Coturnix japonica: one gene and its partner. The protein of the gene in region 1 interacts with the protein of each later gene in a biochemical or structural test. Links are inferred from orthologs where the notes say so. Each region holds a gene or a part of one and is shown on either strand. Other genes may lie near its edges.

Region 1 (4,552 bases):
TCATATCTCTCTTCATCCACAATCTCCACCTTCTCATGCAGCTCCCGGCACAGATCCTAATGGCCAAGCACAGCACAAAGGAGGTGAGCAGTGGGCCCGGTGCTGCAGAGCTGGTGCTCCATTCTCAGAGCAGGGATGTACCTGAAGCTGGCTCAAGGAGAGCCCACTGGTGTGCAGCGGGGTGATGCGCTCAGACAGGTATCTCTCCTTCTCCGACTGTTTGTCCACGATCTCCTGATCCCACTCCTCCTTGGCTTTTGCCAGCATCAAGCTCTGTGGGCACAAGCAGATGGTGGAGGTGTGGATGGGCAGATCCCATTGCTGAGGCCTCCAGAGTTGCCGGTGGGTCTATGGGATGCTGATCTCAGCGCTTCTCTGCTTGCCTTTGCTCTGCTGTGGTAGAGACTTTCTCAAGCCACAGCAAGGGGAGCTCCCAGGGTGGTGCTGCACAGCCCAGGTGCACCAACACGGGGGCTGTGGGGCTGTGGCTGCAGAGCAGGAGGGCTCAGAGCTTCTCCCACCTTCACACAGGGGGGAAGGGAGGGGAGATTTGCTCTATCAGCCGCAGAGCCCACATCAGTGAGCGTTTCTCAGAAGAGATGTGGGAGTGGGAGCTGCTCCTGCAGCGCTGCTGTTCCCCACCACCATCCCACCAACCACACAGCTCTGTTCCATCAGACCCAGGGAGTTTCCAGCCCTTAGGACTCACCTTCAACAGGAGTTTGCGCGAAGCTGTGATCTTGGATTTTCTCTAGGGGAAAGGGGAGGGGAAAAGCTTTGAAAACAAACTCAGAGCAAAGGCAGGGGAGTATCATGATCCCTCCCAAAAGGGGAAGCACTCACCTCCCTGCTGGCAGGCGCGTTTGGGCAGGAGCAGAGAAGGAGAGGAGAAAACAGAGCATCAGTGAGTGGGAATCAAAAGGAGGTGGCAGTCAGATGTTCCCCTTGAGATTCCCATTGGTCTCCTTCCCTCTGTGTGCAATGACTGAGAGCCACAGTGAGCCTGACCTGCAGCTCTCTGGGGGCTGAAGGCTCTCAAAAAGCCAAAACTCAATGATTTTGTGCTTTCAGGTTCTCTGACCTCAGAAATCTCCAATGAGGGTGCTGAGGTTGCTGCATACTTTTAGTTGAAGACAGATGATTTTTTACATAGGGAACAGCACAGTGAACCCAAGCAATGTGCTCTCCAGTCTGAACACCATATTGGTGGGTAGGAGTGAGAGAGCCCCGGGGGGAGAGGGAGCAGCACAACTTACGGCTCTGGCATCGTGGCGCTGGGTTGGTGTCCTGAAAACACACAAAGACACAAAGAAATAAATAACATGCAGAAATAAGCAAGTATATATAGAGGTGGGTTGGTCTATACATCAACAAACAGGAGAGGAGGATGAAACAAGCCACAGGGTGGTGTCGGTCAGGCATTGTTGGGGTCCGGTGCTGCTGATGGAGGAGAGCAGCCCTGGTGCTCTCTGGAGCTTCCCAGTGCCCACCTCACTCCTCACCCAGCCTGTGTAGGGAGCTCTGGGTCTGGGTGTGCACAGGAGGGAGGAGGGAGGGGTCACCCACCCCCTCTGCTTGGACCTCCCCAGCATCCAGCCCTGCTCCCCAATGGAACGCTCACCCGTTTCATAGTTGGAATGCTCTCAGTAACCCTATGCCCCAGCAGCTGCTGTATGCTGAGCCCCTGCTGGCTGCTCACAGCGGGAGCCCAGGGGTGGGAAAAGCACTGGGAAAATGCCCATTGAATCTTCCTTCCAGTTTTTGCATCCGAACTGAAGGAGCATCTCAGTAACAAACAGCTCTTGTCAGTGCTGGTGGGGCTGCTGCTGTTACTTCACATTGAGGTGTTCCACCTCCATTGACTTCTTTGCCTCCCCCAGTGAATCTGGGAACCATTTTAAACCACAAAGGGGAAAGTTAAGAAGAGTTCCTCTGCTCCTGGAGAGGTTCCCCCTGAGCTGAGCATTGCACAGTGTGTGGGCACTGGTCCTCCAGTTTATCCTCATCCCTCCCTGTGTCCCCACTGCACCAGAGCTCCAACCTGAAGCATTGCAGCTGGGGGAGAAAAGCCACAGATCTCAACAGGAGCCCCATCCCACAGAGCCTGCAGGTCTTAGGGTTTACAGAGAATAGCCCCCAAAATAGGATATATAGGCTGAGGGCAGCCCCCAACTGCTCCTTCTTGAATTCCACGGGGGCGGGGGGAGACACAGAAAACCCTCTGTGTCCCCATAGAGCAGCAGCAGTTGGAGTAGCCTCGTGGCGTTTTTCTCCTCCTTCCCCTCAGAACAAAGCCACGTCCCAGGAGGTGGGACCCATGCCAGATCCCATCCCAGCGACCTCTATCAAGGGCAACAAAGTTTTAGGGCAAAGTAGTTCCAATTTGGCTTCCCAGAGGGCTCAGGGGAGCAGGTAGGATGTGCCTGGTGAGCTCATGTCAGGGGATCTGGGGGCTCCAGACCCAGAGCATCCATAAGAGACTTTACTCTCTGACGGAGACATGGTCAGAATGAGCTCATTTTGCTCTGATCACCAGCATAAAAAGTTTCATAAAACACAAAAGCAGAGAAAACACTAAAAGAAATAACCCTGTAAAATCAAGCACAGCCTTGTCCTGTCATCCCCCTGCACCCACCCTGGGCACGCTCCAAGCCCACCTCCCCCATCCCACCAATGACCCCAAGCAGCCACAGAAGGACTCAGTCTGCCCCAGGATGGTGCTGGTGGCTGACTCAGACTGAAAACCCATTGCTACAGCTGGGGCTCAACAGCCCCACATCCCCAGCAATCCCACTGGGGGGGACCCTCTTACCTGGGAGCTGGTGCCTGGTGTCTGCAAAGCTGAGCACTGCGGGGGCCCGGAGACGGAGTGGGAGTGTTAACCCTCAGCTGGCTTCCAAGTGGTCAGTAAAAATAGCACAAATCCCCTCTGGTGCACTGCAAGCCCCACTGCCCCGTGACGTGCAGCACACACCTGGGGTGCAGCCTCAGCACACGAGTGCATCACAGCTGGGTTTGTTGCAGTTGTGACCCCAACACGTTCGAAGCAATGTTTGCTGTTTGCATGCAGTCAGTTCTGCTGCTGCTTGTTGCCCATGCATCCAGGGTGCAACAGCAGTGCCCATATGCTTCCCACTCCATTTCCATTTTCCCTTTGCTGGGTAAACCCTGCAAGGAGGCAAAAATCGTGTCTCTGTGTGGCTTTTCTCTCTCTGCATAAAATTTCCCAGCTTTATTCATTTATTTTGCAGATAAGGAGATGGGGTGAGGAACTGACACATCCACATCCACAGTGAGGTACTCACAGCAGTGCTGCCCATGGGGCTGTGAGAGCAGGAGAGCACATCCCCTCTGATGGGGGTGATGGGGAGGGGGTTCCACCACTGCACCAGGAACTGAGTGCAGGTTTGTGGGTCAGGAGCAGCCAGGTCCTGGTTGGGATGCTCAAGCAGTTCCCATCCCCTAAGCTGCTCCCTGCACCCCAGCTGGGTGTCCCCACAGAAGGAGGCTCTGTGCAGCCCATAGGGCAGGCAGCACCTGTTCCTGGGATATTTTTAGGGGCAAGTTTAGGAGCAAACAATCCCCAGCGTGCAGCCCAGCGGGACAATGCCTGGTATTTTAATCCTAAATCTATTATGGTCACGGAGGAACAAGCAGTTGCGTGCATGGGGCAGCTCCTGTGATGGGGGGCACAGGGGGTACAGCAGCCCCATATCCCACTGAACATGGAGCTGTTCCCATCTCCTCCCACTGCCAGGACATCTTTGCCATAGGGGGAAGATGCAGCAGCCCTCTGGCTGGTGTGGGTTTGGTAATGGTAGCTGGGGCAATGACAGTGGCAGTCCCATCCTGGCTTCATCTGCTCTGGTGCAGCGTTGTGGATCCCAGGCTGCAGGAGGAGGTGTTATGGCAGCCCTTTATAAGGTAAGATGCCTGCAGGGCTGTGCCGCCAGCATCTCTCCTTGGGATTGTTCTCTGCACACAGAGGAGCCAAATTTAGCCAGTGACAAAGGCCCTGCATTCCCCACAGCCCTGTCTGGGGACTGGGGCTTGGGGAGCAGTGCAGGCAATTTTGGGATGCCATTGGCTCTGGGCTCAAGTTTCATTCTCTGTAGGAACCTGGACAGAGAAAGAGGGGAGGAACAAGGGCTCCCCTCAGCCCCAGACTGTAGGACCGGCAGCCATAGGACCAGAAGGAGCCATGGGTGTCCCCATCCCTCTGATGTCATGGGGATATTTTGTGTCCCTGCCACTGTCTCACACACAGTGATGAGCTGCCTGGAGACACTGGGGTTGCTTTATGCCTGTAGTTTTATGAGATGCCCTCTGAGCTCCTCATATGTAGGATGGGGACAGTCTGGAAATCTATGGGGAAGATCAGTTTGAAGTCAAGTTCTTTGCAAAATAATATCCCACAGTGCTTGGGACACACTGATTTGAAGCAGGGGCTGCCCTGGGCTGTCTATGAGGAGGTGGAAGCCAACATTGAATTTCCAGAGCTGTACAGAGAGGTCGGACCCTGAGAATCATTAGTTCTGGAAAAGACCTCTGA
Region 2 (3,131 bases), on another chromosome or scaffold:
AGCCTGGTGCTGTGCCCTGCCAATATTTATTTTGCTTGAGTAAACATTTGATTTTAGCAACATGAACACAATGTGTGAGCCGTGCTGGGATGTAATTTGATGGGAGGAGGCAGCTATGTGCAGGGGGAGCTGCTAATACCATAGGAATGCCACACTTCCTTGGGGAGAGAGAAGACGGTGCCCAAGGCATCAGAAACAGCACCACTTGTCCTCCTAACCCTGCTGCCACCCTGAATGTGGATACTGAGACTGTGTCAGGGTCAAGCCCTGCTCGGGACCCTTGGCACCCAAACAGGTGGGATTTCTAAGGGAGAAATGTTGTGATTCAGATTCAGTGTGAGATGCCGTAGTGCTACAGCGCTGCTCCCTTGCAGGACCACCTGCCTCCCTCCACACAGAGTGAGACAAGGAAGAGGTGCTTCCAAATATAATTTTCCCTCTGTATGTACCACAGAGTGGACATCAGGATAGGGAGGGGGGGAGGGATGTCTTTGGGACAGTTGTAGGAATGTCAGGGAGGAAAGGAGATGCTCCTTTCCCAGGGGTTTTAGTAATGGAACAAGTGGTTGTTAATTCATGTTTCATCACTAAAATGTTGCCAGGGCTCCAGTTAAACCAGCAGGCACCAGTGCAGGCCCCTGCTGCCCTCACATGCTGTGACCAGTGGGGCAGCACAACATGGCGACTCCCTGGCAGGCACCCAGAGCCACGAGGAGCGTCCCCTTTGGTTGTGAGCCTATGGCCAAGGTGCAGCGCTCACCGTACTGCCAAGGAACCACTACCAGAAGCACTTGATAGCAACACTCTTTATTTTCCCTATGGCCACCCTTCTCAGCGCTCAGTCTTCATGCCGGCAGCCAGGGGACAGAACCGAGAAGCTGAGTCACAGAGCAGAAGGGGTTTCAGAGATTCGGGCTGTCCATCTGGCCTCAGATTTATTCAACTCCCTTCATGAACTCCAGGAACTCTGCCAAGGGGGAGACATCAGAGATGAGGGCTATTAGGTGGCACTGAAGTGCTTTCACAGCTGCCATAGTACGCGCTTGGCAGCTCTCCACGGCCCTTTCTCTATTTCCATCTAACTGAAGCACAAGAAGCCAGGCAGATGGCTACTGCTCCTCTGGCCATGGCCAGAGCTCCTCATGCCTGCAGTGGAAATGTCACCAGTGCCCAGTGTCACCCCCGGCCACAGACTCCACTCAAAAACAGCCTGCAGATCCTTTTGACAGCGCCGTGTCCAAAATAACAGCCCCTCAGTGCTGATGCTGGTGTTTAGGTGGCAAAAGCAGACGGGCAGGTCTCAGTGAAAGCAAACCTTGCTGTACAGCATCAGTAGGAAGTTAAGGGATGCCCAGGTCCTTGCAAACATTTTACAACCTCCCCAGCTCCATACAAAGCCAGGATGGGATCAGGAGCATTGCCCAGCTCTGCACAAGCTCACACCTGCCCCCAAAGACAACTGAGACCATGGGAGCTGCTCAAAGACTCACAACCAAACTTCAGGCAAGAAAGACTCCTACCGTCATAGTCAATCCTGCCATCATTGTTTTTGTCCCCATCTTTCATCAGTTCTTCTATGTCATCCTCAGTGATCGTCTCTCCAGTTGCCTGCAGCATGATCTTCAGTTCTTCAAGATCGATGTAGCCATCAGCATTCCTGTGTGAGCACAGAGGAGCTTAGGAAGGGACCCGCACACTGGGGAGGTGAGCTGGGGCCATCTCACCTCTCCCATCACCCACACTGTGGCTGTGGTTCTTACTTATCAAACATCCTGAAGAGATCTGAAAGTTCCTCTTCAGTTTTTCCTTTGCTGTCATCTTTCATACACCGGACCATCATAACAAGGAACTCATCGAAGTCCACGGTGCCGCTGCCTGTGTGCAGAATGAACACCGTCAGGCAGTGGGTGCACAGGTAAAGCCAAGTGAGAGGACAAAGTTCCTGCTAGGAACTGCAGGACCGAACTCAGAGAGCAGCTCTGTGGCAGGAGGCAGCTTGCAGGCTGGAGTGAGCAACTGAAACCATGGATTGAATTCATTGCTCTTGGTTTTTTTACCTTTTGTAGCCATTTTGCCCCAGCAAACCAAATATACTGCAAAACAGGACTGGAAGCTTTGATGAATGTGAATTCCTACCCTGGAGGCACCTGTCCATCTCATTAATAATGAAAACTCCAGCAGGCAGGTATTCATGCACTATTTTTGCACCAGCAGCGTAGCACTGTTGTTTTCAATGGCACTAAGGCTTTGCATGATTTGGGGCCACTTTTCTGTTTTCCAGTTTCTTGGCACAGTCTTTCCCTCCAGCCTGCACACTGGTTTTGTGTGCACACACTGATTTGATCAGTATACGTGTTTATGTCCATATATGTTAGAGCGGTGAAAGACTTTCCTGCTGATAAATGTTGACAAATTGTGACATTTATGCAATACCAGTTACTACCAAATTGGTTCAAGTAGTCTGGCCACGACAGTCAGAATCATTTTTATAGTGTTTATTAGTCTGGAAATTCCCTGTAGGAACCACACAGAAGCGTGGGGTGCATTCAGGATCTATCATAACCCCAGCTCCAGGCTCTCAGCAGGCGCTGTGTCCCGCATGGATCCTGCCTGAGGCCCACAGGCAGCAGGGAGCACTGAGCAACAGGACAGGGCTTCAAATGAGGAAACCAGAACCTCTCACCATCCTCATCCACCTCATCGATCATCTCCTGCAGCTCCTCGGGGGTGGGGTTCTGCCCCAGCATCCTCATCACCTTCCCCAGCTCCTTGGTGCTGATGCAGCCATCCTCTGCCCCCAGCACGAAGATGTCGAAGGCAGCCTTAAACTCTGAGAAGAGAATGGAGAGATGTGTGGGTTCTGTCCCCCAGGCTGGGGGTTTGCCCGGTGGGAACACCCGGGGGACACAGAAGCTGCCTGTGATGTGATCCTAGTGGATCAAGAGCCCTGGGAGCTCCTCCTCAGGCTGCCATGTCAGGTTAAAGATGCACCTACCATTTTTTTGTTCTTCTGTCAGCTGCTCAACCTGTAAGTGAAAGACAGAGAGCAATCCATTTTAATTCCTCATTGCCACTCATTGCTAACCCTCCAAGAGCTGCTCTCTCACAGGCTGGGACCTGGTCAGAGGAGG

The links.
Region 2: the proteins of TNNI1 (region 1) and TNNC1 are reported together in a solved structure, tested with the Homo sapiens proteins (2 studies listed by BioGRID, with this or other methods). The link is inferred for Coturnix japonica from reciprocal best matches to the Homo sapiens genes TNNI1 and TNNC1.

The regions. Positions count from the first base shown.
Region 1 is NC_029541.1:1,161,152-1,165,703, reverse strand, and holds the start of TNNI1 (troponin I, slow skeletal muscle), read right to left. Parts: upstream 2,881-4,552; 5' UTR 2,813-2,880; intron 1,288-2,812; 5' UTR 1,268-1,287; coding exon 1,257-1,267; intron 851-1,256; coding exon 844-850; intron 752-843; coding exon 710-751; intron 274-709; coding exon 142-273; intron 57-141; coding exon 1-56. UniProt on the Homo sapiens protein: Troponin I is the inhibitory subunit of troponin, the thin filament regulatory complex which confers calcium-sensitivity to striated muscle actomyosin ATPase activity.
Region 2 is NC_029527.1:237,446-240,576, forward strand, and holds the end of TNNC1 (troponin C, slow skeletal and cardiac muscles), read right to left. Parts: intron 3,027-3,131; coding exon 2,996-3,026; intron 2,831-2,995; coding exon 2,684-2,830; intron 1,876-2,683; coding exon 1,761-1,875; intron 1,658-1,760; coding exon 1,521-1,657; intron 968-1,520; coding exon 936-967; 3' UTR 792-935; downstream 1-791. UniProt on the Homo sapiens protein: Troponin is the central regulatory protein of striated muscle contraction. Tn consists of three components: Tn-I which is the inhibitor of actomyosin ATPase, Tn-T which contains the binding site for tropomyosin and Tn-C.